Rhinolophus ferrumequinum: one gene and its partners. The protein of the gene in region 1 interacts with the protein of each later gene in a pairwise test. Links are inferred from orthologs where the notes say so. Each region holds a gene or a part of one and is shown in the gene's direction. Other genes may lie near its edges. The genes, in order: KRT40, ZBTB16, MXI1 and CCDC185.

Region 1 (7,016 bases):
GATACAGATCAAGGTAAACAGAATAATAACTGACCAGCACTAGAGAGATAAGACCTACAAACTACAGGTGTGCTGACGTGCAATATTCCCCAGCAGGGCTGGTGTCGGAATTCTAATAGCAGAAGCCTTTGATAATACCTCATAAAGCTCCTGTTCCAGTGACAAATAGCAAGAATAATAGGCTCAAATTTAGCAAAGAACTCAAATAAAGGTTAATTGGGAGAATAGAGACTGTTTACAAGCATCTAAATGTCAAACCAATTAAAGGATAATGGATACACTAACATAAACAAGAACCAGGAAAGAAGCCTTCTGGTTGGACCGACACCCATTAGGGAGGGTATATAAGAACCCCAGAGCAAGGAGAGACAGGATCACCTCAGAAACCTCATCTGTCTGGAAACAAAACCAATAAAAACCACACTCCCACCGCCATGGCTTGCCGTGCTCCCTGCTGCTGCAGCGTCCCCACCGGCCCTGCCTCCACCATCTGCTCCTCTGACAAATGCTGCCGCTGCGGAGTCTGCCTGCCCAGCACCTGCCCACACACCACTTGGTTGCTGGAGCCAACCTGCTGTGACAACTGCCCCCCACCCTGCCACATTCCTCAGCCCTGTGTGCCCACCTGCTTCCTGCTCAACTCCTGCCTGCCCACCCCAGGCCTGGAGACCATCAACCTCACAACTTACACTCAGCCCTGCTGTGAGCCCTGCCTCCCAAGCTGCTGCTGACCGATGGCTGCTTCGCCCAGTGCCTGACATTGAAAGAGTCAACCCAGAAGCTTTAGTGTTCGCCTGTCTCAGTACCTGCAACTCACTGACTTTGCTTCCGAAGTTGGAGCAAGGATGGCACTATCACTGACAATCCCCTACCCCCCAAAAAAACCAAGAGACTGTCGATGGCCACGTAGCAGATATCAGTAACCAGGGGCAATTTGAGCAGGAGGATGCCTATGGGTTTCCCAAAGCTGTTCAAGTCCTGCATATTAAAGTGTATCTTTCTTTGGGTATTTGGGAATTCTGTTTTTAGTCTTGGGTGGTATCTTCCTGGAAATTAAGGAGCTTTTTCATGATCATCCTAATAAATTTTACATCTCTGGCATAGCACAAATGTCTACAATTATTTTGTTTTCTGTTAATTCATTAAATGTATTTTCTTAACTCCAAAAGTCAGCATTTTAAGCACTGCATTTTAAGAGGGCATCTGCAAAACTGAGAATGGTGGGCGTACAGATAAATATTTCTTGTTTGTAATAAAACTAAATGGACTTGCATAAAAGATGGTTTAATATATTAGCATACTTTGAAAATAAACTTTCATTGACTTTCCCTCCCCCAGAAAATGGTTTAAGATAGATTGGAAATTACTGAACATGATCTGAAAAGTAAATATGATATGACGTATTAACTAATCCAGGTGACTTAATCTATTTATGCAAAAAATAATAATATAATATTCATTCAATAAACATTTATTGAATATCTATTATATGTCCTGCATTATACTGTCCCTGATCAAAATGCGCTGACAGTCTGGCAGGTGAGGCAGATACATACACAATACCATTCATTCCTTCATGCAATTAACAATTATTTATGAATGCCAGGCATTCTAGGATAATTTTTTTTAAAAAGTGTTTTAACAGTGGCATCATTAAAGTGCTGTGGTACCATAAAATTCAGAACAATTAAGAAATTAAGATTGCTACCATGGTGATAAAGAGAAGAAAGACATAGTCAAAGACAAGCTGACTGGAGTTGGTGGTCAAAGGGATATGGAAGAGAAGAGGGTGTCAAAGAAAGATTAGACAGTGGAGTTAGGTCACCAACTGAGTATGGTAACAGAGGAGAAAACTAAAAAGGGAACTACTGTGCTCTACTCTAGACATGACAAGTTTGAGGCACATGTGGCATATTTAAATAGAGTTTAGGCAGCTGGAATTTGCACAACAGTGTTCTAGAGAGGAAGATGCGTGCGGGAGGACGCAGAAGTCTGTGTAAAAGTTCTTATCAAGTATTTGCAGAGGGCTGGGCTGCATTCACACAGGATAAAATTCCAGCTAGCAGAGAGTGGCTGCTGGGGGATAAAGAGCTGAACGGAGATACCAGAAGTCATTCAATACTAACAGATATTGAAGTGCCAGCCCATCCAGAGGGGACAAAGCTCTGGGAGTACCTCAGATGTTTAATCAATGTTCCAGAAGGACATACGAAAAGAGTAAGGGCCACAACCTTGAGTAAAGAACACACCAAATTATACCTGATCTAGAAAAGTCTAAAAATACCAAGCCTGAGAGGATCAAAAGGACCTTCCAGTGATTTAACTTCCTGTCAGAATAAAACTCAACACCCAAAACTTTGCAACATAATCAAGACTTCCTAAAATACATCATCTAGAATGACAGCATATAATTAAAAATTGCAAGACGTGAAGGAACAGGAAAATGTCATCTATAACCAAGAGAAAAAGTAGCCAATAAAAGTAGGTCCACAGATACATAGATGTTATGATTAGCAGGCAAGAATTATCAGTTATTACAAATGTTTTCATAGATTTAAAGGAAAAGATGAAAAGATGTGAAAAGAATAGACAAGATAAAGATCTAAAGTAAAACTTTACATTTTTATTTAACAAATTAAATTTAATTATTTAAATTAAATAAGAAAGAAGCAAATGAAAATTCTAGAACTAAAGAATACAATCTTAAATAAATAATTCAATAGGTGACCTTAATAGCAGATTGGAAACTGCCAATTAGGGGTGAAGTCAATGAATTAAGATAGATCAAAATTATCAAAACTAAAAGGTAGAGAAAAAAAGATTGAAAAAAAATTAACAGAACCTGAGCAGCCTGTAGGACAGTGTTAAGTGGCTCAAGATACATGAAGTCGTTGTTCCAAAATAATATGAGAAAGTAGTGCAGAAAAATTTGGGTTTGGAAAAAGGTTGAAATTTTTCCAAATTTAGTGATATATTTTATTATGTAATTTTATTCCCTAGTTCCTGCATTTTTAATTTCCATGAAGTTGGGGACTTTAAAAATACATACATACATACGAGATTCCATATCTCAGAAGAAAAGCTTTCTGTAGCTTCATTGCCCCTACTCTAAAGTGTAATCACTGAGGGTTTCCCAAGAGACTCAAAGATTAACCTTAGAATTTATATTTCCCTCTTATTAGAGATACAGGTAAAAATTAGTATCCCTGATCTAAAAATGAGGAATAGAAAATATGGGAAAGGTAAGTTTCAGGATATCAAACATCACAGCTCCAGGTCTTGATAACCCAAAAAGGTCTGGTATCCCATTTGTATTTTGGCCTGGAGGACACAAATTATGACCATCAGTCATGTAGAGTGACTTTTCAACTTCCACACAGGCAGATATAATTTACACACACACACACACACACACACACACACACACACACACACTTTAAAGCCAGCATACACCTCCCTCCTCTACCATGTGAGCACAGCAAGACCAGCACTGCAAAGATTGCTAATCACGTGGAACATTTTATGGTGGTGGCACAAACAAATAAATAGCATTCAATGTGTTGTAATATTAATTTTAAAAGGGGACATAAACAATTCTCAATGCTAGCATCAAAATCTGTGCGAATATTATTTTCCTTTTTTGTAATCAGTTGTAGCTATAATTACTGATTGGCCAAATTTTCTCTTTCTTTCCTTATTCTGTCAAAATGACAATGCTTCCTATGAAGATTTTCTGAAACAAGTATTTTATCCTACTGGTACAATGGGAATGGGTTTTTATTTAGTAACCTGAAGTTATGCTTCTTTTATGAGGCATAAAACTCTTCCTCAGCAAATAAACAACACTAATGAATGATCATATGAAAACCGGCACCAACAGCAATAAGGAAAACATCAGGTGCATTCTGTAAATACCCATTTGGGGGGGCTATATAAAAGTCCAAGCAGGGAAGGAGACTTTTGGAGTTAGGCGACTTGAGTTTTGCCACTGATCTTTGTTCCTCACTTCTAAAAGGATGCCTTCGGACTGTTCCACCACGTGCTGCTCGTCTGAGTCCTGTGCCAGGGTTTCTGATGGTGCAACTGCTTTAACCTGTCCCGTGGAAACCACTTGTCTCCCCAGCAGTGCCTGTGCTACATCCAGATGCCAGACCCCTCGCTTCCTATCCAGGTCTCACTTGCCGACAGCTTGCCTCGCTCCATGCTACCTCTCTGGGAGCTGTAATATTCCGTGCTCGGTGGGGCACTGCGCTTGGTGTGAGGATGGGGTGTTCAACAGCAGTGAGAAGGAGACGATGCAGTTCCTGAATGACAGACTCGCCAGCTACCTGGAGAAGGTGCGTGGCCTGGAGGAGATGAATGCAGCACTGGAATGCCAGATCCGGGCACAGTATGAAGGGGACATCCCACTGGTGTGCCCCGATTACCAGTGTTACTTCGACACCATTGAAGAGCTCCAGCAAAAGGTCTGGTGTCTCACTGCCCTAATGCTCCGCCTTCCCAAACTGTGATTTGTTGATCTTTATACTAGAAGAGGCTGTCCTGCAGAAGGAAGCCTGGGAAAAGGGACTTCTGAGTGGTAATGCGATGTACAGGAAAGGGCACTGGACTGCAAGTCAGGAAATGCCACTAAGCCCAGGGCTGCCACTGCTATACTGGGTGACCACAATAAACTCACCTCTAGACTCTACCTTCCTCACCTACAGAGGAAGGAAAAATGGAGTGATATCTAAAATTACTTATGTAGGTAACACTGTACAGCTGTATTATTTTTATCATAAGATGAAACGTCATCTTTTTAATCATATAATTTTATCTAGTAATAATTTTCTTTTCTTACTGATGGATTTTTATTATCATATATGGGGATACAGTCATAACACAAACTACTTATGGAAAAAAGTTTAATTGAATTCACCTGCCAAGAAATACTGCAAAATGTCTTGGGTCATTAAAAAACTAAACCTTTTGATTTCTCTATTTCATTTATAAACTGGCACTCCTTTTTTTTTTCATGAAGTGACATGGTTAACAAGAAAAGCAGGCAATAAGCTATCTTATACTTTCTTACAAAGACTTTTAAAAGATAAATAATGGCATAGCTGTTAAAAGAATAGATATTTAGATTTTTCTCAAAGAACCATTTATTACTTGACAACTTATTCCCAGATCTTGTGCACGAAGGCAGAGAATTCTAGACTCGCTATACAGCTTGACAACTGCAAACTGGCTGCCGATGACTTTAGAGCAAAGTAAGTTTAATGTAAATTTGAAAATAATTTATGGTTACACCTCTCTCTCTCTCTCTCTCTCACACACACACACACACACACACACACACTCACACACACACACACATGCGCATGCCACAAATATTCTCTGTATGATATTTTTTAAGCTAAGAATGCTCACAAAGCTCAAATTGATTATTATTCAGATGTAGAAGAAATTACAGCACATGGCTTCCTTGAGTCCATGTGTCCCAGCGCCTTGCCCAGTGTCTAGCAAAGTAAGCACATGCCTCTCTTGCTATGAAAGGTACGAGTCTGAACTGTCCCTTCACCAGCTGGTAGAGACTGACATCAGTGGCCTGCGCAGGATCCTGGACGAGCTGACGCTGTGCAAGTCGGACCTGGAGGCCCATGTGGAGTTTCTGAAGGAGGAGCTGCTCTGCCTTAAGAAAAACCATGAGGAGGTGAGGAACATGGAAATTGCCAAAATAATGTAAGACTGACAAATTAAACTGACAGATTTCATATGTGTATATAAATTGAACTTGGGTAGATGTTGCTAAAGCTGGAACAAAATTACTGAAGGCACTATTACTATTCAGCCTGCTCATTCCAGTATGTCTCTGAGTATAGCCGTAAACTGGCCCCTAGCCAGTGCCAGATGAAAGAACCAAACTCTTCACCGGCCATCGCTTTTGTGGAGGTGGTAACTCCACAAATGGCTTTCCCTGGAGGCTTTATGCCATGCTTAACTCTAATCCATAAGGTAAGAAAATCAGCCTGATAAACACATACTGTGAAACCATTTCAAAAAGGCCATAAAGAGTCTGACAATATTGGACCAGTATTTTTTAAATATTCTGCATCAATAAACTTTTTAAAATCACATAATATGAAGTATATGATTATCCTATATTGATGAATCTAAAATGTGAAAAACTGAATGATGTAACAAAGTACATTTTCCCTTTGAACATCTGTTGATGAAAATTGCAGCTAGCATTTACTGAGACCTTACTATAAGCCAAGGACTTTTATAGGTGCTTTATGTGCGTATTAACTCATTTATCGGTCACTAACTCTGTGGAAAAGATAAAATTATTATACCCATTTTGAAGATGAAGAAACTGAGTGATGGAAAGAGATTCATCCTAGGCAATCTGAATCTAAATCCCATATTTGTACTCACTACTCTGAAAAACAAAAACAGGATATCATTAGGATGTCAAGGTGATTTTTTTCCTCCACCACTCTGTGACATTCTTTACTTCATTGCCACTTTCAGGAGGTCAACGTGCTTCGTGGACAGCTTGGTGACCGACTCAGTGTGGAGCTAGACAGTGGCCCCACCATCGACCTCCACAGGGTCCTGGATGAGATGCGCTGTCAGTACGAAACGGTGCTCGCTAACAACCGCAGAGAAGCGGAAGAGTGGTTCGCTGTTCAGGTCAGTACCTGGAGCGGTACAAAGACAGGCTTCCAGACCTCTGCCCTCTTTGCGTTCTCTCATCATGCCTGTGTTTCAGATGGAGGAGCTGAATCAACAGCAGCTTTCCAGCGCAGAGCAGCTGCAGGGCTGCCAGACAGAGATCTTGGAACTGAAACGCACAGCCAACACTCTGGAAATTGAGCTCCAAGCACAGCAAAGCCTGGTGTGTCAGGCAAAGAAGGCTCTGATTTGTCACTGAAGAATCAGGCCCTAAGATACTATCCCCTCTTCCATAATTCAAAGGAGAGACCCACACAGCTCATGTGGCAGGAAGTCTGAATCTCCAATTTGCAAGG
Region 2 (7,548 bases), on another chromosome or scaffold:
TCTTTTCTCCTTATCAGAATAAATGAAATATTCTGCATTAAAGACTCTGAGACTGGTCGTGAGTTTTGTGGACAGAGAACACGATAACCATGAATGAGTCCTATATAAGGCGAACACAGCAGTTTTCATACACTTCTCTCACATTAAGGAAGAAATATATGAATAGTACAATTTAGACTTGAGTTGTATTTCGGGACCATCGTGCTTCTGGTGGCAACTCCAATGAGTGTCATAACTATCACACACTCCTGGTGTCAAACAGCTGCCCTGGATCGAAATCTATAAGGATTGAAATCTGTAACTTTAAACACCTCAGAAGTTAAACAGTCAGTTATTTCAAGTTAAAAGGCACAAGAAAATGTTACGTACTTCCCCTCTTCCTGGCCTCTCTAGAATGAAACACCAAAGTGTTAGAAAGACCCCATTTCTGAGAAGGATTTGAGCATGGGTGCCCAGGGATTTAGCTATGGGACTCGCATCACTTGTAGTGGGAATTTTGCTGCTTTAATGCATGCATACTATATGGAAACCGCACCCCTTGACAGCTGCAAAATTTTAGTTTTGAAATGGAGGCCCTCTTTCTCAGAACAAAGCAGATTTCCAGAATCACCCCAAACTATTCAATGTTGGCGCTGGGCCTGTATGTTTGTGCTTATGTGTATCCAAAAGGGAAAAATGCCTTTCTCTTATGCGTAGATGCTCTTTCAAAGACAACACATTAAGACATGATGCCCAACAGCTGACAGCAATGGTTGCTATGTCTCACCCCAAAGCTTTGTGAGGAATCCCATAAAACCTGGCACATGGTTTGTGACACCCAGTGAAACACTGTGCTTCTTCCATAATAACCTGAGCCCTGCTGCCTGTCATTAAGGGACCTCTCTTATTAAGCATCTCTTTTTAAATGGCTGCCATCATCTGGTCCCAGTGTACATTAAATCCCATTATAATTATAAACACGCTTTCCCATAACATCCGTTGCAGATTTCATCCACACTGCCTACCCCCTCAGGGCATCTTTGCACTAATAACAACTCAGATTTGCTATTTGAGTTGACAACATTCGGTCCCAACACCATTTGCAATATGCTGGGGGAAGAGAGTAGAAAAAGCTTTCTCTTCTTCAATCATGAAGATTTTGGGGTCCTAGTGACTGAAGACCTCAGCGGCTAAAATAAATAACCTCTCTTCTTCTCCCTTTGAAAAGTCACTTTCTGCCCTACAGATGAGAGGAAGGGCATACACAGAACCTGGAAGAGAAGCCCAAGTGTGTAAATGCCACTAACCAGGACTCCACGGGGATGGGGGTGGAGAGGTAGCAATTAGTAGTCAAAAAAGCCATCCTCTTATTTGGTTTTCTCAGGTTCAAGTAACCAGAATCCACATATCACTTGATTATTTCCCCCCTCTGTTTTTTGGAGCAGGCATCTAAAGAAGGGACGTGATAGAATTAAATGTAAAAAAAAAAAAAAAAAAAAAGGCAAACCAAAGAAAACTATCAATATATACACTGAGGGCAAATTCGACTCTGCCTAATTTTTGACATCATCTGCATCTAGCTAGTAGATATCTGCAATAATGACCTTGAAGCATTGTAAGATCCTTTGCCACTAGAAAAGGGCACAACATGTTTGCTATTATCTTCCCCCAGGGGTCTCCAGTGGGGTAAAGATCTGAGAGTGACAGCCTGGTGCAGCCTCCAGTAGCAACCTGGAGTTGTCAATTGCAGTGGAGACTACTTTTTCCTTTCAGGGGCTTCACTGCCTGCACCTCTCCCTGAAAACACTTAATTCCCCATTCATCACAAGATTTTGGGGAAATGCAAAGTAGCTTCTTCTCCTAAAGGTAGGAGTCCTTGACTTATCTATCATGATAGGAAAGTTTACCTTTACAATTTAAAACTATTTTTCAAATAAGGAGTTGGAACAAAATGAGTTGCAACATTCCATTAACAATCAGAGTAGTCAAAACAACACTATAACCTTCTTCCTGGGCATCTGTTTAGTTGAAGTTTTACTGTAATTCAAAACTCCCTCCTCCACTTTTGCCTGAGATTTTGAGGAAGGAAGGAAAGTGCAGAGATTCTGGGGGCTCTAAGTCTATTTACCTGGTGGTTTGATTCAGTGGATAACTGTTTGGGCTTCAGCTTGGTGGCTGCTGCACAGAAGATGAGTAATAAGTGGAGTAAGATGAAAAGTAAAATTAAAATCCTTTGTTTCCCTTTTCTATCTTGCTAGAGGCTGTATAATTTGCAGGTTAAGATCAGGAGCTTTGTAGTTGGAATGGTCTGATTTAAAGTCTCAGCTCTGATGTTTAATAGTTCTGCAAACTTGGATAAGATACTTAATGTCTCTGAGCCTTTTTTCTCATCTGCAGAAATGGGGAAAATAATAGTACCTGTATCAATAGGATTGTTACAAGGACTAAATAAAACAACATAGGTAATGTGTTAAGATTCATAGTCAGTATTCAGAATGAGGTATTATTCCCACTGTCCCCTTCCTGTAAGATATCTTAGTCCTGATAAACCATCCTCTTCCACAAACTGAGCTCTGAAAGGCTGCTACCAGTGGGAGGTGTATGAATAAAAGTGATGAGGGAATAAGAAGATTTAGCAATGGAATTCCATCCACAGGTCAACTCATCTCTTCCCTTGTCTCCAGCATGACCTCCCTCAGGCTGAGGTCTCTTCTATTTTTAGGGACTGGTCAGAACTGATGTCCCCGCTTCCCTTACCACCCCTTTCAAGAAAAAAGTAAAAAGAAATTACAAATATACGAACATGAGAGAGACAGAGACAGAGAGAGAGAAAGAGAGTTTTCTCTTGTAATTTTCCATCCTGCTTGTTTTTAGGTGATGCCATATGAAATCTCTGAACTGGGGATTCTCATCAGCGTTCCAGGGACCCAAGGACATAGCTGTGGCTATAAATGGTGCCAGTTTTGGTGGTAGAGCTGCTGCCGCTTTATCTGGACCCAATAAACCTTATCAAACTGCCTTGCAGCCAGCCTTCAGCGCTAAGTGGAAATGCTTGGAACCCAATGCTGGCACTCAGCCCACAGCCTCGCCTGCCTTCCTCCTTTTGTTACCTTCTCCACCTCTTAAATTCAGACATTAATCTCTCTTTAACACTTACTAACAAGGGCTGGGCTTTTTAATAGGCAGAGTTTATGAAGCAAGGGAGATTTTCACATAGAGTATGGCATGGAAGGTGGGGGAGTCCAGGGCCATTGAGGAACTGTTCTTTCTCTCCCATTGTTTCCAAAGATTCCCTTTTTCTAACTTAAGGATTAATAGAAGATTAGGATCAAGGGCTAATTTGTGCTTCAGCTACTGCGCTGGGGAGGGACTGGTAGTGGATATGGACTGCAAGGCAGCAACCTTCAGCAGGTACCGCCTGGACAGAAGTGCAACAAGTTTAATGATTCTTCTATTGCCTTGGTGAGGCATGGGGGGGGGGGGTGTCTTTTCTCCTCTTCTGGCATCCTTCCCTTCTTCATCTCTTTCCAGACCAGTTTTCTTCACTTTCTTGAAATCCCTTTCATCTTACAGACCACGAAGACCCTAGCTAGAAAAATCGTCTATAATGGGGATTCCTCTTTATTGTTAAGCACAAGGCATCCCCAGGGCTTGGGCTTTCCCATGCCTGGGCAGGTGTTGCTGTGTACTCTATTAGAGGATAACGTTCTTCCTTCACCTGGGAGTGCGCTTCTCTGCCCTCTGCTGTCCTCTCCCCAGCACTTTCCCTGGGAGTAGGAGACAAGAGCGACACTTGCTGGGATGGAATTGCCTGTCTTTGAGACTACCCCATTAGCAGCTCTTGTGAACCCAGAACAGTTATGATTTGTAAACTCTGCCTCCTAGTGTTTTGCACCCCGAAGAGGATTTTTTGTCTCTACTTGGCTTCTGCCACCTTCCATAACCCTACAGTTCTTGGGGCCTGACTGTCCGTCTGGGCAGTGCGGAGGCACCGAGGCACACATGGGGATGTGATTATACGGAAGTCTTGTGGAAAAACTTTGACCGACCCGCTTGTCAGCGGCAGAATGTGGAGACTCAAGACTCCGTGATTGAAGCGCCGCGTTGCTAAGACTGCATGACCTCTGGGGCTGACTGTCCTGAGACCCAGGGATGGAGCTCTCCACCCCACTCTCCTTAGCGTTAGTCGGGCACCACGGCCTGCCTGCACGCAGAAAAGCGCTTGCCACCTCTTGCCCCCTACCTTCGCCAGGCTCAGGGAGAAGGCAGGGGGAGAAGGGGACTCTCTAAGGGGACTCTCGACCGCCTGAGGAAGGGCAGATTTCTTTTGGTTGCTCTACCTCCGGGTTAGTGATAAGTCTACCCTCTAAAGTGGAGCGACCAGTTGAGAAGAGGAAACACTTTGGGGGGCCTTCAAGCTTTCACCGTCCCCTGAAGCCTGCGCTGAGCAGGACGCAGTCCTTGGGAACTCTTTCCAACCGGGTTCCTTGGCGGGGGGGGGGGGGGGGGGGGGGCAAAGAAGAGGGCATGCTCAAGTCTGAGAGGGAGAAGAGTTTCTCTCAGGCCTCGACCTCAACCCCCAGGGGTCTGATAGCTGAAATGGGACGTCCACCTCCAACGTCAGATCCCCGCGGACCCTCTGGCACTTGGTTCACCACGGTCAGCGAAATCTGCGTCTGGAGACTTCTCGCAATCCGGCTGCTCATCGCCCGGAGGCACACCGCAGCCGGGAGGCACAGAAGGCCTGGGCTGGGGCTGGGAAAGCAACCTTCTAAAACCGACGTCGAAGTACAGGGGATGCAGTCCCCAGCCCGGAGCAAAAGTGAAAGGCGAGAGGACACACACTGAATTGGGACAAACAGTGAAGTCAGGGACAAAACTCCGCGCCTGGAGAAGCTGGGGGAAACAAAACCCGTGTCCAGTGGAAATTAAAAACCTCGGGGTTGAAGGTGGAGGCTGATCCCCGCACCTCACCTCCACTGCCCCCACTAGGCTTCCGAGTCCCTGGCTTTCCTCTCCACGATCTCCTTTCCTCTCCGCTAGGCGGGTGAGCGGCGGCCGCCAGCGCCCCAGCAGCAGCTAGATGTCAGGCGAAGCCCGGAGCGCCGCGCGCGGGTAAGGGAGGGGAGGGGAGAGAGAGGGAGGGAGCGAAGGGAGGGGAGGGGTGGGGCGGGGAGCGCGCGCCGGCTTGGCCAGTGCGGGGGGGGAAGGGTGGGCGGGCTGAGCTCGGGGACGGCACGGGAGGGGGGAGCGAAGGGGGGCAGCTGTGGGCAAGGAGCCCGGCTCGGCCGCCAGCACTAAAGATGGAGAGGCGCCGGGGCCTCGTAGGGGAGGGGGCTCGGCGTTGACGTGAGACGCGGCGGAGGCGCCGAAGCCGGTGGTGATTTGCTAACCTCGCAGCAGAGAGGAGTTGAGGGCGATGAGAGCGGGTACTGCGAACTGCCGGGCGATGCCGCCGCTGCCGCCGTGATACCGAGAGCAACAGTTCCCCAGCAACACCCTTCCCCGACACTGGCACACACCCCCCAAGAGGCACGCACACCCACCCCACAGCGCCCGGCTTGGCAGCGGTGAGTGAGGGGCTAGGGAGGGGCGCACCGCCCAGCGAGAGACGCGCGCCAGGGCGCCCCTGAGGCTGAAGAGGTCTGGGGGCGCCCTCGCTTCAGCCACTCGGCCGCTGAGCTTGTGCCTGATTTTATTCGGCTTGTTCCCTTCCTGCTGCTGCAGCCGTCGCCACCGCCGGTTGGGGGTCGACTAGAAGGGGGAGCCCTGGCTGTCAGCTTGGGCACAGCTGCTACCCCAACCCTTCCGCACCCGGGCACGGTCGGGGTGAGAGGTAGGGGCAGAGCGGTGTGTGGGGGCTGAGGGCGCGAGCGGAGGGTTGGGGATCGGGAGGCTTTGTACCGCCGGGGGCCGGCGGAGGAGCCGGGAGCGGGTGGGTGCTCATATGTATGCGGACCGGTGCGCGGTCGCGAGATAGGGTTGTGGTTTGTGTGTTTATTCGCCGGCCGGCTGGGAAGCCAGAATCGGGATCCGTGGAGTGGATCTGGGGGCGGAGGAGAGCAGGAGTGGGACTCACTTGGGTGTTGTTTTTCTTCGTAAAAACGTGGTGAGCCCTTTTTTCCTTGGTTGGACTTGATTCCCCCTGTTTAGGGGGGAGGGCGGCCGTGGCGGAGCTCCGGAGGGTCTTCAGGGCTCCGGGCCCTCCTCGGCTCTCGGCGGGACCGGCCGTGGCGCCGGAGCTCGCTGTGCGCTTCCGGCCGTACTCGGTGGGTGTCCCAGCTTTGCACCTGATGCGTTCGGGATGCCTTTCCCACCCCGGCGCACCGGCGGCTCGCACGCGCAGCCCCTGGAACACTCCCGCAAGCGCTCAAAATGCGCACGGTTTCGCTGGCCCGCCGACCCGCTGGAACGCACAGACGCACTGTGCAACGACTCACTCGTCCGCTCCACGGGACGCGCGCACCGTGCCTGGGCCGGGCAAGGCGGCTGCTGGAGGCTCCAGCCCCGCGCGGCCTGTGACCCTGCCCGTCGCTCCCGGGGATCACGGCCCTGGGTCGGACAGGGAAGGCTGGCGGATCCCTTCTTGCCTTTCCTCCCACAACTCTCTCCTTTGCTCCCACAACTCTCGGTCCGGCTTTTGTGCTTTCCCTTCGCTGCGGGGTGGGTCCGCCTCCTAGCCGCTCTTGCCCCGGCATCCAGCCCGCCCGGACTCTTGCTTTTCGTCCGGGTCTCTTTCGCTTTTCCTCTTCCCTAGCCCGGCTCCCGTTCCTTCTGCTGTCTGGTTCCCCGGGAAAAGTTGCTTCCCCAAGTTTGCCGAACACGTTTCCAACTCTTTGTGGGGGTGGCTGGGAACTAGGGGTGTGTGAGAGCGCGATCGATCCCCGGAGCTCGAGCGGGTTAGCGCCGGCTTTTCACCGCGGCGCAGGGCTGGGCGCTGCAGTCAGCGCCGGCCTGAGATCGCGGGCGCTGAGAGGCGAGTCGGGGGGGACGGCTGACCGAGGGCACCCTGATTTCCCTCAGGACCCAAGGAGCTTTCTTGTGGGAAGGAATTCGGGTAGCCCAGCTTCCATTCTTTCGATTGCTCCCTCCTAGTTTTCTGAAACCCTGAAGTCTGCGGGAAAGCGCATAGTGGTTAAGCAGGGATGAATGGCCATCCCATCCTTGATGGCCTTAGTCCCCACTCCAGGCTGGGCAGCAAAAGTGTCTTGATTAGCAGTCCTGTTAACCCTTTCTGCATGAGATTTGTGGCTCTGGAACCCATAAGGCTCCTTCTGGGGGCTTAGGCAAGTTGTTTTGGAAGAGTGAAGGAGAACCCCTGCTTTGCTTTGCTCCTAGGTCATTTTACTGAAATACTGGTCACAGCAAGGCAGAGGCTGGGAAGGACGTGGCCTGTGAAGTCTTTTTAACACTCTTTAAACAGTTCAGAGTCCCAGGCCCTGTTACTGATCCTGAACTGCGCCCTGGGAGCGGCCTTTGTTTCGCAGCCCTGTCTTCCCTTCATACTGGTTGTAACTCATACCATAGAGGCTGGTGCCAATATTGCTTCTAGCACCTCCAAGCCATGTC
Region 3 (7,212 bases), on another chromosome or scaffold:
CAGGTGCCAGGGGCTGGGGATGCCAGCAGGAGCGAGACATACTTCCTGTCCTTGATGAGCTCATAGTCTAATGAACCCTGTAAGTACTGGGCGTTGCATAGGAGAAGCCCAGGAGTTGTCTAAGACAGGAAGGGCCTGCCAGCCTCAGAGGTCCAGGAGAAGGCAGGGCAGAGTCCAGAAGAGCAGAGATAATGCCTCAGGAGCAGGTGACACCCGGGTAAGCTCCAATGTAGGGCAGAGGCTATTTATCCTCTGCCATGTCTACACTCACTGGTGAGGGTGGGGGTGGGGAGGCATGGGGAGTGGTGGAAATAGGCCTGGTCAGCACTTTCGAGGCTGTGCTGGGAGCCACTGGGAGAGGCAGAGTCCCACAGTCCTCCTGTTCCTGCCCTTCTGCTTGTGTCTTATAGTCCCTAACACTCTAGCCTTGGACTTTCCTTGAAGCCACTTCTCCCTTCTCCGAGATGAAGGCAAGATGAAGACTCCCAAGGAGAGAAGGAATCCTGAGCCATCTCCTCAGCTCTTGCTGGATGATCCCTTTCTAAAGGAAAAGGTGCTCAGGAAAAATCTGGCTAAGAAAGCTCTGGGGATGAAGACTTAAGTGACAATGCAGGGTACAGAAGATCTCTTGATGGTGTTTACCAAGCCTGAGGACAAAGACCACGGGTCAAAGAGCAGGGAAGAACCTCATCTAGCCATGCTGGCAAGATCCAAAGAAAGGCTAGATGTTGGAGGGACAGACTGAAGCAGAAAGGACTAGTGAGAAGAGAATGGGTAAGGAAGAAGAGGAAGGCTGAAGAGCCCGGGAGAGCCAAGATGTCCATCCAGGACAGGGAAGGGCTTCCCGCCTGCATGCAGGACGAGGAGGTCTGGGGCCACTCACCTAGTGCCATCTCAGTAATTAAGCAGCCTCTGCGTACCTGAAGACACAATTACAGACAAAACAATTCCTTTGATGTAGGAGTATAGAATGTCTGGGGGGAAAGAGGGGAAAATAAAAGAAAGAGTGGTCTTGCTTTAATATACTAACAAGGTTGATGGAAAAATATTACCAAACAGGCAAATAGGTTGAACAAAGAATAGAAAATTGGGTAAACAAGACCCAGGATGAGCGGGCACTTGGGATACTTTAGGCCCTCTGGAGGATCGTGGCTGGCCTTGCTGGGCATGGCAAGAAGTCACTGCTTTTCTTTCAAAGAGTTTTCTGATCAGGCTGGCCACCTGCCTTTTTATCCCCTACCTGTTCTCTGCAGAGATTCGCAGCAAGCTTCCAAAGAGGCCTGTTTATTTATGGAGGCAAAGCCTGGGAGAAAGTGAGGTACAAAGGGTTTGAATGGCTCCTCCTGGGAAGTAAAGCTAATCGGGAATGGAGCTGAGCTTGTAACCCAGCATCCTGGATGCCTGTCCCATGATATAACCCCTGAACCGCCACTCTTTCTATTGGGCCAACTTTCTTATTAAAAATCTGTTAATTGGGGCGGGGGTAGGGGAGGAGGGAGAGAGCAGTATGATGCAAACATGGTTTAGCACTTGGTGGGCTCTGAAGAAATATAAGCAAGAGGCTTTGAGCTTCCACTTGGCACATTCACCATTCCACATACATGCTACCAAAACGAATATATACAACTAAACTATATGTGAGGCTCCAGGGCACAATAGTATAGACTTTGTGAAACAAAAAGGCATTTCTCCTGCTTCCACTGTGTCTCTTGTGGTGCCATTGTCTGATGCTAAGAACTCACATAATAACAAAAAACAATGCCACTATGATGGGGGAAAAACTTGATTTGGCACCAGCAGTGGTGTTTTCCATGGGAATGATGGTGGGGGCTGTGGCCAACTGTGGGAATAGTGCAAATCAGCACTTTTTTGTAGATTTTCTTCAAGCCATTGTTTATTTTGGCTTTGGTCAGATCCATGGCCCAGCTTGAAGACTCCCACTGGGCTTTCTGAAGCTCACAGACCTATGAGAGATGAAACAAGGATAAATAAATAATTAGAAAACACTCTACCACTGACCCTGCACTCATGCGTGGGGCGTGCCTGTCTTGGGGGGCTGTATTTATACGTACATGTAGGTGGCAGGACTGCGTATGTGCACACTGGCCCATCCTTCCACCGGGGAATTAATACGAAACCAAGGTTTTCTCTGGGCTTCACTGGTTCATTGTCTTGCTATCACTTTACATTGGGACAAAGGAGATCATAGCTGTTTCGCACAAGCACCAGTTTTGGCAAAATGGCATTCGATAAAACTTGTTTGAAACTGTACCTTCCCCAAGCCCTTAGAGATTTATAGACTTTTAAATATGAATAACTCAGGTTGTGGTTCTGACAGGAATAAAAAAGTCAGTAATTGTTGTGATAATGGAAGGCAAACTTTTATTTCACAGCTCTTAAGAATACATTGTCTTTAAAATGCCATTTACTGATGGTTCTTGTCATATCAGCAGCATGTTATAGTATACAATAAGTCCGCACTTACTGTATCTTACCCTAGCCAAAAGATCCAGAGATCAGCCATGCAAAATTTGTCACAAAATGGAAAATAAGCAGAGTATGTGTAGTATAATTATATTATGGTCCAAAATATGAATACATTGGCTTTAAAATGCCAGTTACTAATTGTTCCTGTCAAATCAGCTGCATGTTATTAGTATTTGATAAGCCTCACTTAATGCCATCTATAGGTTCTGCAGCTTGAAACAAAACGACTTATAACGAAACCAATTTTTCCATAGGCTAAATGATATAAACAAGGGTCAAGTTCCTGCAGCATCTCACTAACTACTGAAATGACGTTATTTGAGGACCTGCTGTATTCTAAAAGCACAAAAGACTTCTTTGAAGTCTCTGAGAGGGTGTGTGTATGCTAAGTGTTTTATAGTGAGAGTTTTACAAAGAAATGTACTTTCTCTCCTTTTTTTCAAAAAGTTCCCATTTCCAGTAAGAGTCTTCCTGGCAAATGTACATGAAGCTGCCTCTGAGCAGGGTGACTGGGTGGCACAACTCCAGGGGGCAGCATTTGCCGTGTCTTCTATGAAAATGGTTCCCCTGGAGGAAAGCTCCAGGTGGCCTTGCAAGGTGACAGTATTTAGATGGGCTTGTTGCAGAGATGTTTTCCAACGAAGTGCGGAAGAGTCCTGCTTCTTGCAGCTTGTTCCCCGTTGGATGTGAATAGGGGACGCAGGCTGCAGTCTGGGTCTAGGTTGGAAAAAAATATCTTACTAGTAGGGGCCACGCAGTGTGCTCAGTGCAGATATAATTGAATCAGCATAAGAATCTTATCAGAGGTTTCACGGTTGGGGAAACCTAGGCCAGAGAGGTTAGGGGACTGGCCCAAGCTCACACAGTCTGTATGCAGCAGAGCTGGGACTTGAACCCTTCTCTATTGCACTCCCCAGAGGTCCTCAAATATTCCCCTGACTCCCACCACATTTCCTAGCCCAGGAAAACATCCAGGATTCTTGCAGACTGACTGGGTGACAGCAGCAGAGTGAAAACAATGCCAGCTGGGGTAGGGGTCTTCAGAGCCAAAAGGTGGAATTCAGCTGGGGTAGTTTGTCCTAGGCTGCCAGTTCTGCTTCTCTGTCAAATAAAAGGGAGCCAGGTGTGGTGACACCCCAGTGTGAGCTTTGCACAGCTGGACTAAGGCTTGGAAGAGGAGAGTGGAGAGGGATGCTTACATCTCCTCCCCTTCCTGGAAAATAACTTTGCATTTGAAGGGAGAAAGAAAGGGTGAGTAAATCTGTAAACCGGATTTGTGGGCCTGGGAATTTCATTTGGCCTTTTGAAAGCACAAGGCCTTGCCTCTGTGAGTGAGTGAGTGAGTGTGTGTGTGTGTGTGTGTGTATTCGGGGAGGAAACTTCAGGTTAGTTGTGATGATTATTTTGGGCTTTTTTAAAAAAAAGTCATTTTACTGTGGACCTACTATGTGCCAAGCATTCTGCTGGGCACTTTACGAGCTATTATTTTTATGTGAAGAAAAAAGTATCTTAGTAGTTTGTTTTTATGCAGGTGCACTCAGAGACATCGAATATTTTTTTCATCCCGCGCTCTACACTGGTAAATTTAGGGGAGAGGCGGGGAAGGGTGCGAGGACCGACTAGGGGCGGTCCCTGACTCTCTTGTCTCCACCTTTTATTTTGACCGATCCAATGGAGAGAGGCTCGCACTAGGACCCAGGCGCCAGAGCGCCTCCGTCTGTCCTGTAGGTTCATTCAATCTCCCATACACACAGACCTACTGCGAGACCGACACACACACACACACACACACACACACACACAGACACACACACAGACACACACACACACACACACACACACACACACTCAAGCACACAACTGCACGCAGCGAGGCTAGGGAAGTCAGGTCGCCTCCTCGCCTCCTCGCCTCCTCTGCTCCAGCCAGCCGGGTCTCCCCTGGGGCGCGGAGCTCCGCCGCGTCGCGTAGCCCCTGAAGAGGACGAGCTCAGTGGATCCCGGTCTCTCCATGGGCAAACGCGGGCGGCCGCGCAAGGAGGCGCGCTGCGAGGGCGCCGGGCTGGCCCCCGTCGCGCCCCCGGCAGTGGCCGCGCCCCAGCCCCCGGCCCAGCCGGAGGAGCCCGCGGGGACCAAGCTCAGGTGCCCCTTCTCGGACATTTTCAACACCAGCGAGAACTCGATGGAGAAGCACATCAACACTTTTCTGCAGAACGTGCAGATTCTGCTCGAGGCCGCCAGCTACCTGGAGCAGATCGAGAAAGAAAACAAAAGTAAGTTTTGGGGCCCCCGCTCCTCCTCTGCGCCCGGCTTTTTCTTCCTCGCCCACTTGGGCGACCCTTGTCGCCTGCTTGGCCCGCGCCCCCTCCCCCCAACTCACATCCAGCCCTCGGCAGTAAAGCCGATGACACCGGAGAAAGGACACGCACGCACAAAGCTGCTAAAGATGTAACAAAGACGAGCGGGGGGAGAGGGGGGCCTGTCGGTGTGTCTGTCCAGCTACCCGAGGCTGGGAGGACCTCCCGGCGGAGGAGCGGGGGTGTTGTTGTTTGCTGACAACTGAGCCAAGAGCTCATCTCTTCGAGGTCGCCTTTCTTCCTTTTTTTTTTTTTTTTTTTCCGGAGCCTTCTCGGGCAGACAAGTGTTGTTTTTCTGTCGCTCGTTTCTGGGTGGGGTGGGGAGGATTAGAAGCCGAAAGTTGGAAACCGTAGGCAGAGCTCAGCGATTCCAGAAAGAAAACACACAGACACACACGACAACAATAACAACAGCCACCAAAAGCCCTTCCCGGCGTTAGCTGGGGCTGGCTTGGCTCTGCTTCTCCCTCCTGTCTACTTCGCTTTTTCCTCCCCTGTCTCAGCAGAGCTGGGCTCAGGCCATCGCGTCCTCGGATACAGAGCCCCTGCGCCTCTGTTGCCCTGGGGTGCCGCTTACCCCTTCCCCCCAAGAAACAGGCCGGCAGGGCCAAGCAGCGCCAGCAGCTCGCCCCGGAGCCGTGGTCCTCCAGGGAAACTTGGCGAGTGGAACGCAGCTAGAAGGAAACTTTGGGATCTCGCAGGAAACAATAGTTGGGGAAGAAGGTGTGGGCTGTTGTGTGCAGTTTCTTTATTTTCCGGGAGACGGCTCCCAAGCGAGCGCACAGGGCTAGGAAGGCAAACGCCTTCCTGGTGGATTTCTACCGTCCCCTCCCCACTCCCAGACTCAGGTGGGGGAGCGATGCGTTGTGGGGTGGGGGTTTGGTGGTTGCTGGGAGCCCCACCCCGGCCTGGCCTCCTTTTTTGTATTTGTCGGTTTCATTTTTGCCCCTGCCAGCCGGGTCCCCCAGCCCTCCCCAGCAGTCGACTCTGCGCCCTAATGGGGGCACGCGTGTGCGGTGTCTCCAGCGCGGTCCTCACAAATAATACGTAGCTGCGAGAAGGCGGAAGGGGCCGGGGCAGACAGACCGACAGACTAGAGAAAACCAGTCTGTTTAATCTGTCCGAACAAGTAGGAAGATCAATGAGACGACAGGGAGAGAGAGAGAGAGAAAATGGTCCGATTGCAACGTGTCAGATCTTGCATCCTCTTCCCCCCAAAACACAACAACAACAACAACCCTCAAACACAAAAACACCTTAGCTGACCGACACGCCAGTCCTCCAGGGTTAAAGTAAGCGTGTGTTGGCAGTGCAATTGTGCAGAAGCTGTAAGGCAAAAAAAACAAGGATTTGTGTTGGGAGGTCGGTGGTGCGTTCTTTTCTTTCTCTTCTCTCCTGTTTTCTCAGAGTGCCTGCCTGGGTTTCGAGAAAGGCTCGTCGCCGGCTAAGTACCCGAATCAGATTGCGATAATTGGCGGGGGGGGGGGGGGAGTCGGAGGGGGGAGTTGGGAGTGTGTATTCGTCAGGAGGATAGTTTCTGAAAAGCCAGAGCTGGTGTGGAGCTGGCTGAAGACGTGGTTTTGTTTGGTGTGTTTGCTTTTGTTGGAGGGGGGGAGGGGCGCGATTTCTTTAGCTGCCCCCCGCCCGGGTCCCTGATTCTTCGGAGTCTGTCCCTTGGCGCCGGCTCTGGCGAGGGGTGCACCCTAAGAGGGCACCTTGGCAGTGTGTGTGGCAAACCTGGCTTGCCCCCCTCCCCCAGCGAGGTGTACTAAAGAGGCTGCTCTAGCTTCCACCGCGTCCCGTCACCCCTTCGCACCCGCAGACAATCGGAGACCTCGGCTGCCCCCACACACCCCACCTCCGGCCGCCCTGGCTGCCGCCACCTCCTTGTTTACCCCGTGCCGGGGCTCCGGCGTGGCCACCAGTCACGTAAGCAGAGGGCCCGGAGCGCCGGGCCCGGCTGCCCCGCGCGGGGCGGGCCAGCAGCAGCGGAGCTTGGCTCCCGAGGCTGAGAAAGCCAGGGGTCTGCCTCCCGGTCCCTCTCCCGAGGCGTCTGCCCTGCACGTCCCCAGCCCCCAAGAGGGACACGGAACCTCAGCGCCCCACTAAAAGTCAACTTCGTGTGCGTAATCAGCTTCTCTGCCCCGCTGCCCCCCTCTCCTCTGGCCGGCTCCCCGCGGGAGTATTTTTAGCTCTCTTGCCTCTTTTCGCCGCCGCTGTTTGGCTCTGCATGACGTGATGACAACGGTCCCCAGATTTCCCCGAGAGCGTGGGCTGCTGCGCCGTGCCGGGCTCAGCTACAGAGACCCCGCCTCAGGCCCTCTCCCCCTCCCCAAAAGCTCACGCAGGCGAGGGTGACCTCCAGCAAACT
Region 4 (6,560 bases), on another chromosome or scaffold:
ATTTTATTTAGTCTGTTGTGTTCAAATACCATCTTGACAAATAACTAATATAAAAAAGAAAAGCATTGACATATTTTACTTTTTTCCATAGTAAATTTTTGAAATCCAGGGTGTATTTTATCTCGATAGCACATGTCAATTGGGACTATCCGCATTCAATGTGGCCGCTGGCTGCTGTATCGCACAGAGTAGCTCTCGCTGATTTCCCCCTTTTGACCCATCCAAGAACTAGAAGCTTTGCTAAGAGATCGAATCTGAAGCCACTACAGTAACTACTAACAGCCGTTCTGAGGAAGGGCCCAGAGCCCAGTTCTGTTCCATAAGTTAATTTGAATTGTGGAAGCAGAGCACATTTTGCCGTGTTTTCCAAGCTTCCAGCAAATGAAGAAACGAGGCCCAGGTCTTCATTTGGCAGAAGTCCCAAATTCTGGGGCCGCCAGTGAACTACACTGAGGATTTTTCTGCCAAATAAAAAGGAGGCTGGTGGTTCTTAGTATCAAGGGACTGCTTGGCAGCTTAACATTTGCAAAACATCTCTTTCATCTGCCTACTGCAAGAGCTGACAGTGGCTTCTGGGATTGTCATCCTCCCAGGGGTCAGATGCTAAAGATGCTGGTTAGAAGGTTGGCCCTGCTCCCGCTGCCCTGCTCCAACCACCCTCCCACTTCCCCCCCAGGCCCCTCAGAGAAAAGCTGTCTCTTTCCCGTTTGTCAGTCTCCTCCACATATTCTGTTTGCTGTTTTGTGTGGGGGTTCCCTTATTACTACATCTTTTTTCACCTGATTTCCAAGATCACTCTTTTCAAGGTCTCCTAGAAGGAGACCTCTTGTCACTGGCACTCACCATCTGCCCAGGCACCCAGGTGAGAAACCCTCTTTCTCCAGATGGAACTCATCTTCAGATCATGGTCCCTCGATCTCCGAACAGTCCCTTGAATCCATCCCTTCCTGTCCCCCTGCCACGGTCCAGGTTTATACTTCCTGCTGGCTCACCCAGATTAGTGAATCAACCATCTAACTGGCCACTGTCTCCAATTCCCCTCCCCTTACTCCCCAGTTTATCCTCAACACTGCTGCCAGGGTAAGATTTCTAAAATATAGACCCAATTGGGTAATTTTTTTGGTTTCAAGACTTTTACTGACTTTTCACTGCCATCTGCACAGTGGTTTTCAATGCTTTTTATAAGCAGAACCTTACATTTTTTCAATGTGATGAAACCAAGAGCCCCAGGATACAAAACCTAAAATCTGAGCTGCTGTGGGGACAGAGGGTCAGGGCAGAAGCAGGGACAGAGGCCTGAGAATCTGCCCTGAAGTTCTCAAGCCCCACATCCTATGGGACCCATGGCAGCTGTAAGGAATCCCGGAGCTCCCTGGAAAGCTGGAACGTGCAGCCTGGCAGTCAACGCGCTATGGCATCAGGGTCCAGCCCACCTTCCTTTTTCGCTTTTTCGTGAAACTCTCCCCTCCCACAACGGCTACTCTATCCCGAATTATGTCTTGGTCCTCTGCTACTCTCACTCCACCCAGTCTACACGTGCAAGCTCTCACACAGCTATGCTTTCTCCCACACGACACTGCTTCTCTGTGACAAGAAATAGCCTGGCACTGGCCAGAGCCCCATTTGGTTTTGCAAAATGCTTGGCAGAGCCGTAACCAAGAGAGATGACACTCAGGTATCAGCACAATTCAGTTCATGCCTCCATATTTCCTAGCTTAAAGTGAAATGATTCCGTTTCGAATTTGATTTAATTTTTTTAGAAGTTGCCTCCTTATACAAATGACAACCACAGATAACTTCTCTAACAATGGTCTGAGTGGCGCTTATAGAAATCTAGGGTAGAAGTTAAAAAGGAGAAAGGACCAGAACACAGCCTGTTCTATCCCTCAAGATATTAGTATTCACTCATACAAAACACAGCCTTACCGACTCTCAGCCTCATGGTCGTTGGAAAGTAGGGGCTGTGAAGGTAAAGAGCGACCAGCGGGCTGGATATGTCAATTACCTGGATGGGAGGGAGCCTATCACAATGTATACATCTATAAAACCACCACATTGTACATTTTAAGTATCTTACAACTGTGTCAATTATACCTCAATAAAGCTGAACGCCCTTCCCCCCCAATAAAAAAGAAATCTAGGGTAGAAACAACTTATCCTCAGCTATAAACGTGCTAATGACCACATCGGAGATCCCACCCAGGCAGAGAGGGCTCCTGGAAGAGGAGGGCTCAGCTCCTCTAGTCCAGGCTGCTACCACCTGGCTTCAAGGACCTGGCCACCATGACACTCTGGTGTATATCTCATCATAATTTTCTTAAAAGCATGTCATCTTAGGCAGCTCAGGCTGCTATAACAAAACACCCCAGACTGAGCGGCTTCAACAACAGATGTTTATTTCTCACAGTCTGGAGGCGGGGAAGTCTGAGATCAAGGTGCTGCCTCCATCCATTCTGGTAAGGGCCTGCTTCCCAGATTACAGACAGCCACCTTCTGGCTGTGTCCTTATGAGGAGAGAGAGGAAGCTTTGGTCCCTTGGACATTAATCCCATCTAAACCTAATTACCTAGCAAAGGCCCTGCCTCCAAATACCAACACGCTAAGGGCTGCTGGGGCTTCAACATATGAATTTGGGGGGACACAAACATTTGATCTATAACACATGCATCCATTCAAACTGCATTTCCTGAGAGGCAGCACGATGTCATGGAAAAAGAAGTGAATCTGAAGTCAAAACTCCCGCCAGTGACATTGTGCTCTTTGGGGAAATCAGTTAACATGGCCAACTCTCAGACCCGTCTGAAGCAAACGTCAATTCTGTTGGGCCCACACAGCTGCAGTTGCTGTGAAACTCCAAGTAGATGTGGGTAAAGAAGACAGGGGTGAGTCAATCTTCATTTTTCTTCTTTAAGGAGTCACCCTCTTTGAAGAATGTCAACCAAAACTGTTCCCGCGTTGCACCTCAGAGAAGGGAAGTGACTTAACCAAGATCCACAGTGCAGGATGAACGTGCAAGAGCCTGGGGGCCGCCCCTCGCTAGCACATTACCCTTCACCTAAACTGTTTTAGTAGCACCTTAAGCCCATTCTTTTTTTCTTAAGCTAGGAATCCACAGAAACTTTCGTTAACCCATATATTAAGTCTTACAATTTTTAACTGAAGCCTAGCAGGACATCAAAATATTTGTTTAATGCATTAAGGTGCTAAGCTCTTGACACATAATTTCGTCTGACCCTCAGGACGGCTCTGCAATGCCGTGTGTTATCATCAGCCCTTCGTCCATTCCACTTTTCCAGAATTTGAGGGTCAGGAAAGGCAGGTAACTTGCCCAAGACCACACGGGTGGAAAGTGGCAGAGGTCATTCAAACTCATGTTTGCGTGACCAAATCGTTTTTTTCCCAATAGCCTAGGGTACCTCAACAAGGAAAAATAATCTCATGAAATTAGAGAAAAGGGTCAAAAATATTTTTTTTTTCAGAAATGTACACACGACATTCACATTTTGACAAAAGCAGGAATTGTCACGTTAGGGGAAAATGGACAAGTCTTTTTCCTGTTCTAAAGTTTAAAAAGTAACCAAAACACACTTTGGATTTGCTAACTTAAGCAGGCAAAAAGGTTGTACATATTAATGTGCTTCCACAGCCGCGTACTTTGCAGACTCCATATAGGTACACAGAAGAAGGGGTGGTGACTGAGGCTAAGCCTGGCTCAGGGGATTCCACCCCCCGCCCCGACCCCCTCGATCCTTCCCTCCACATTACATTCTGGGGTGACAGCTTCACTCAGGTCCTTTTAAAAGCCTGCTGCTTTAAAGTGTATAGATGTGAGATCAAATTCCTGCCTGAAATGCTGGTGGGGGTTCACTACACACCCTCAGCTCTTAGGGTCACCCCTGATTTCCTACAGCTCCCCTCTACCCTGCACCTTCCCCCGGCCTTCTACCCCTCCCACTGCCCCCATCGCAGTACGAATGCTAGGGAGGCAGGGGTGGGAGAGGGCCGAGGGCTGCAGGACCCTGGCGACTGGGGCATTGTGAAGTGGCCCTAGCGTCACAGGCGCCAGGGATCCCTGCCCCAGAGGGCCGGGGGCGGGTCTCAGCAGCACCCCCTGGAGGCCGCAGCACCCTGGCTCATACGCTGCGCGCGCAGGGAGGGAACATGAAGGGCTTAGGCAACTTCTCCTCGCTGCCCTACCCAGACCTCTGGGAGCCTCCGCCGCTCGGCGGAGGGCGCGCGTCCTCCTCCTCGCGGCTGCGTGGACCCAGACCCCAGACCCAGCCGGCGCAGGGCTCCTGGGCTGGGACTCCGGACGAGGGGAGTGAGGTTGCCGCGGCCTTGTCACCCCCGCACTGCTCGCCCACCCTGCGGCCTCGCCGGCGCCAGTCACCCCACAACTCACTGCGGGAAAGCCATTGCCTGAGAGAGATGGCCCGGAAGCCCCCAGACCGCACCAGGAAGCGCGGGACCCGCAGCCGGCGCCTGGAAGATGCCTGCGGGGAGCCAAGGACCCAGCCCCACCCTCTGGGGAGAAGTAGGTGCAGGCCAGCCTGGCCGCAGCAGCCCCAGCTGTCACCCCAACGGCCCCAGTCCTGCCAACACTACCCCCCAGCCCAGGGAGATTCGCCCCCACCGTATTCCACGGGTGCTTACACGCCCCCGAGTGGAACTTTCAGGGCAGAAAAGGGACAGAGTGGAGACCCATGGGCAGTGCCGGTCTACAGAGGTCAAGATTGCTGTTCCCTGTCCTCAGTCCCCACAGAGAAGTCGTCTGCGCCCTCTCAAGCGTTCGCTTGCGTGTCCACCCAGAGGAGGGACAGTAGTGATGGCATGGAGTTATTAGCCGGCCAGTACTCCCAGCCCTCAGTCTCCAGAAAGGAGAGGCAGAGCCAGCGCACCCAGATCCTCAAGAACAAGCTGGAAGAGGCGGTAACGTCTTCCAGGGACCAGAAGATTGTGGCGCTGGTGCTCACCCGTCTCAAGAAGGCCCAGAGGATGCGGGAGCTGCAGCAGCAGGCGGCTGCAGCCTGGGAGGAGCTGAAGCGCTCGGACCAGAAGGTCCAGATGACACTGGAAAGGGAGCGCAAGCTGCTACTGCAGCAGAGCCGGGAGCAGTGGCTGCAGAAGGAGCAGCGCAAGACTCGCCTGAGCGGGGAGCAGCACGTTGGACGGAAACAGGACGGCCACGCCAAGAACATGGTCCAGCAAGAGAACCAGTGGAAGGCGCAATCAGAGGGCCCGGAGACCCAGCGCCAGGAGAAGCTGGAAAGGGCCCGCCCCGAGGCTGATCACAGGAAGCATTGCCAGGTCCAGCGCCAGCAAGAGCAGGAAGAGAAGGTGGTGCGGCACCAGCGGGAGCAGAGCAGCCTGGAGGTGCAGAAGAAGCCGGAGCAGGCCTGTGACAAGAAGCAGCTGCACCCCACCGGGGGCCAGAGGAAGGTCCAGGAAGCCAATCTCAGCTCCCTAGTCAATTACCAGGCCCGGAAGGTCCTCATGGACTGCCAGGCCAAGGCTGAGGAACTCCTCAGGAAGCTGTCCCTGGAACAGAGTTCCCAGTGGTCCCAAGAGATCCACCAGGGCCTGATTCGGGAGCGTCACCGCGAGCTGAGGGAGAAGGCTCGGATGGAGGAGGAGCAATTCCAGCAAGTCAAGTGGTGTGCGGAGCAGCTGGCAGAGCAGAGGAAGGTGCACAAGCAGCTGTTGGTGGAGCTGGCGGACCAGCAGTTCCAGCAGGACAGGAGCAACGTCCACAAGAACCTCAGGGACCAGGAACAGCACATGCAAGAGCTCAACATCCTGCGGGAGAAGAACCATCACATCCTGAAGCTGAAAGCCGAGAAGGAGGAAAAGTGCCACGTGGAGGGCATCAAGGAAGCCATTAGGAAAAAGGAGCAGATGGAAGAGCTCGCCCGAGAAAAAGATGCCAACTTCGAGGAATTCCAGAAGATTTCCAGGGCCTCCAGGAGGGACAACGTGGGAGCCAACAGACTCTTTGCTCAGCTGGACCGGGAGGCCCAGCTCCGTGTGGGTCAGCAGAGAGGGGGCTACTGAGAACCTGACAGAGAGAGAGAGAGAGAGAGTGAGAGCTCACCGCCCAGGCGGCTGGAAAGACATCTGGTGATGTGATTCCATTTATAATCTGATTATAAGGGAGCATTGATAGTAAAAAAATTATAAAATAGCTACAATTTCCTCTCGTGAACTAGTTTGTCCATTCACTTGGGTCGTTGAGAGGGTGAGGGATAGACGTTTGGGAATTTTAGGAAAATTACTTGCCTTTGTGAATGTTGACTTAAATAGAAACGATGCATTTAGCTCTCAAGTAATCTGAGAAGCACATATCGGGCACATCTTGGAGGAACCAGAGAAAAATCTACAGTAGGAGAGATTGTTCTATGTCATGGTTTTTTCCTCTCCCAGAATTTACGAAAGGGTGAAGTGTGAAGTACCAGTCATAAGAAATCTCCAAGAAGAAGAAAAAGAAAAAGCATGTAGATTTGGGATCCCTGCATACTGCGTCCCCCCTTTAAACATGAAAAGTTCAAAGGCTCTGAAAAGGC

Evidence for each region.
Region 2: the proteins of KRT40 (region 1) and ZBTB16 interact in binary tests that used the Homo sapiens proteins (3 or more experiments, as listed by UniProt). The two-hybrid records come from large-scale screens. The link is inferred for Rhinolophus ferrumequinum from reciprocal best matches to the Homo sapiens genes KRT40 and ZBTB16.
Region 3: the proteins of KRT40 (region 1) and MXI1 interact in binary tests that used the Homo sapiens proteins (3 or more experiments, as listed by UniProt). The two-hybrid records come from large-scale screens. The link is inferred for Rhinolophus ferrumequinum from reciprocal best matches to the Homo sapiens genes KRT40 and MXI1.
Region 4: the proteins of KRT40 (region 1) and CCDC185 interact in binary tests that used the Homo sapiens proteins (3 or more experiments, as listed by UniProt). The two-hybrid records come from large-scale screens. The link is inferred for Rhinolophus ferrumequinum from reciprocal best matches to the Homo sapiens genes KRT40 and CCDC185.

Annotation. Positions count from the first base shown.
Region 1 is NC_046304.1:37,223,546-37,230,561, reverse strand, and holds the start of KRT40 (keratin, type I cytoskeletal 40), read left to right. Parts: upstream 1-4,016; coding exon 4,017-4,466; intron 4,467-5,169; coding exon 5,170-5,252; intron 5,253-5,538; coding exon 5,539-5,695; intron 5,696-6,516; coding exon 6,517-6,678; intron 6,679-6,757; coding exon 6,758-6,883; intron 6,884-7,016. Other genes in the region: keratin-associated protein 3-3, read left to right, coding at 435-731. UniProt on the Homo sapiens protein: May play a role in late hair differentiation.
Region 2 is NC_046294.1:83,543,407-83,550,954, forward strand, and holds the start of ZBTB16 (zinc finger and BTB domain-containing protein 16), read left to right. Parts: upstream 1-4,545; 5' UTR 4,546-5,094; intron 5,095-5,223; exon of another isoform or gene 5,224-5,549; intron 5,550-5,660; exon of another isoform or gene 5,661-5,815; intron 5,816-7,548. UniProt on the Homo sapiens protein: Acts as a transcriptional repressor. Transcriptional repression may be mediated through recruitment of histone deacetylases to target promoters. May play a role in myeloid maturation and in the development and/or maintenance of other differentiated tissues.
Region 3 is NC_046299.1:17,050,884-17,058,095, reverse strand, and holds the start of MXI1 (max-interacting protein 1), read left to right. Parts: upstream 1-4,198; 5' UTR 4,199-4,495; coding exon 4,496-4,757; intron 4,758-7,212. UniProt on the Homo sapiens protein: Transcriptional repressor. MXI1 binds with MAX to form a sequence-specific DNA-binding protein complex which recognizes the core sequence 5'-CAC[GA]TG-3'. MXI1 thus antagonizes MYC transcriptional activity by competing for MAX.
Region 4 is NC_046310.1:12,729,176-12,735,735, forward strand, and holds CCDC185 (coiled-coil domain-containing protein 185), read left to right. Parts: upstream 1-4,161; coding exon 4,162-6,051; downstream 6,052-6,560.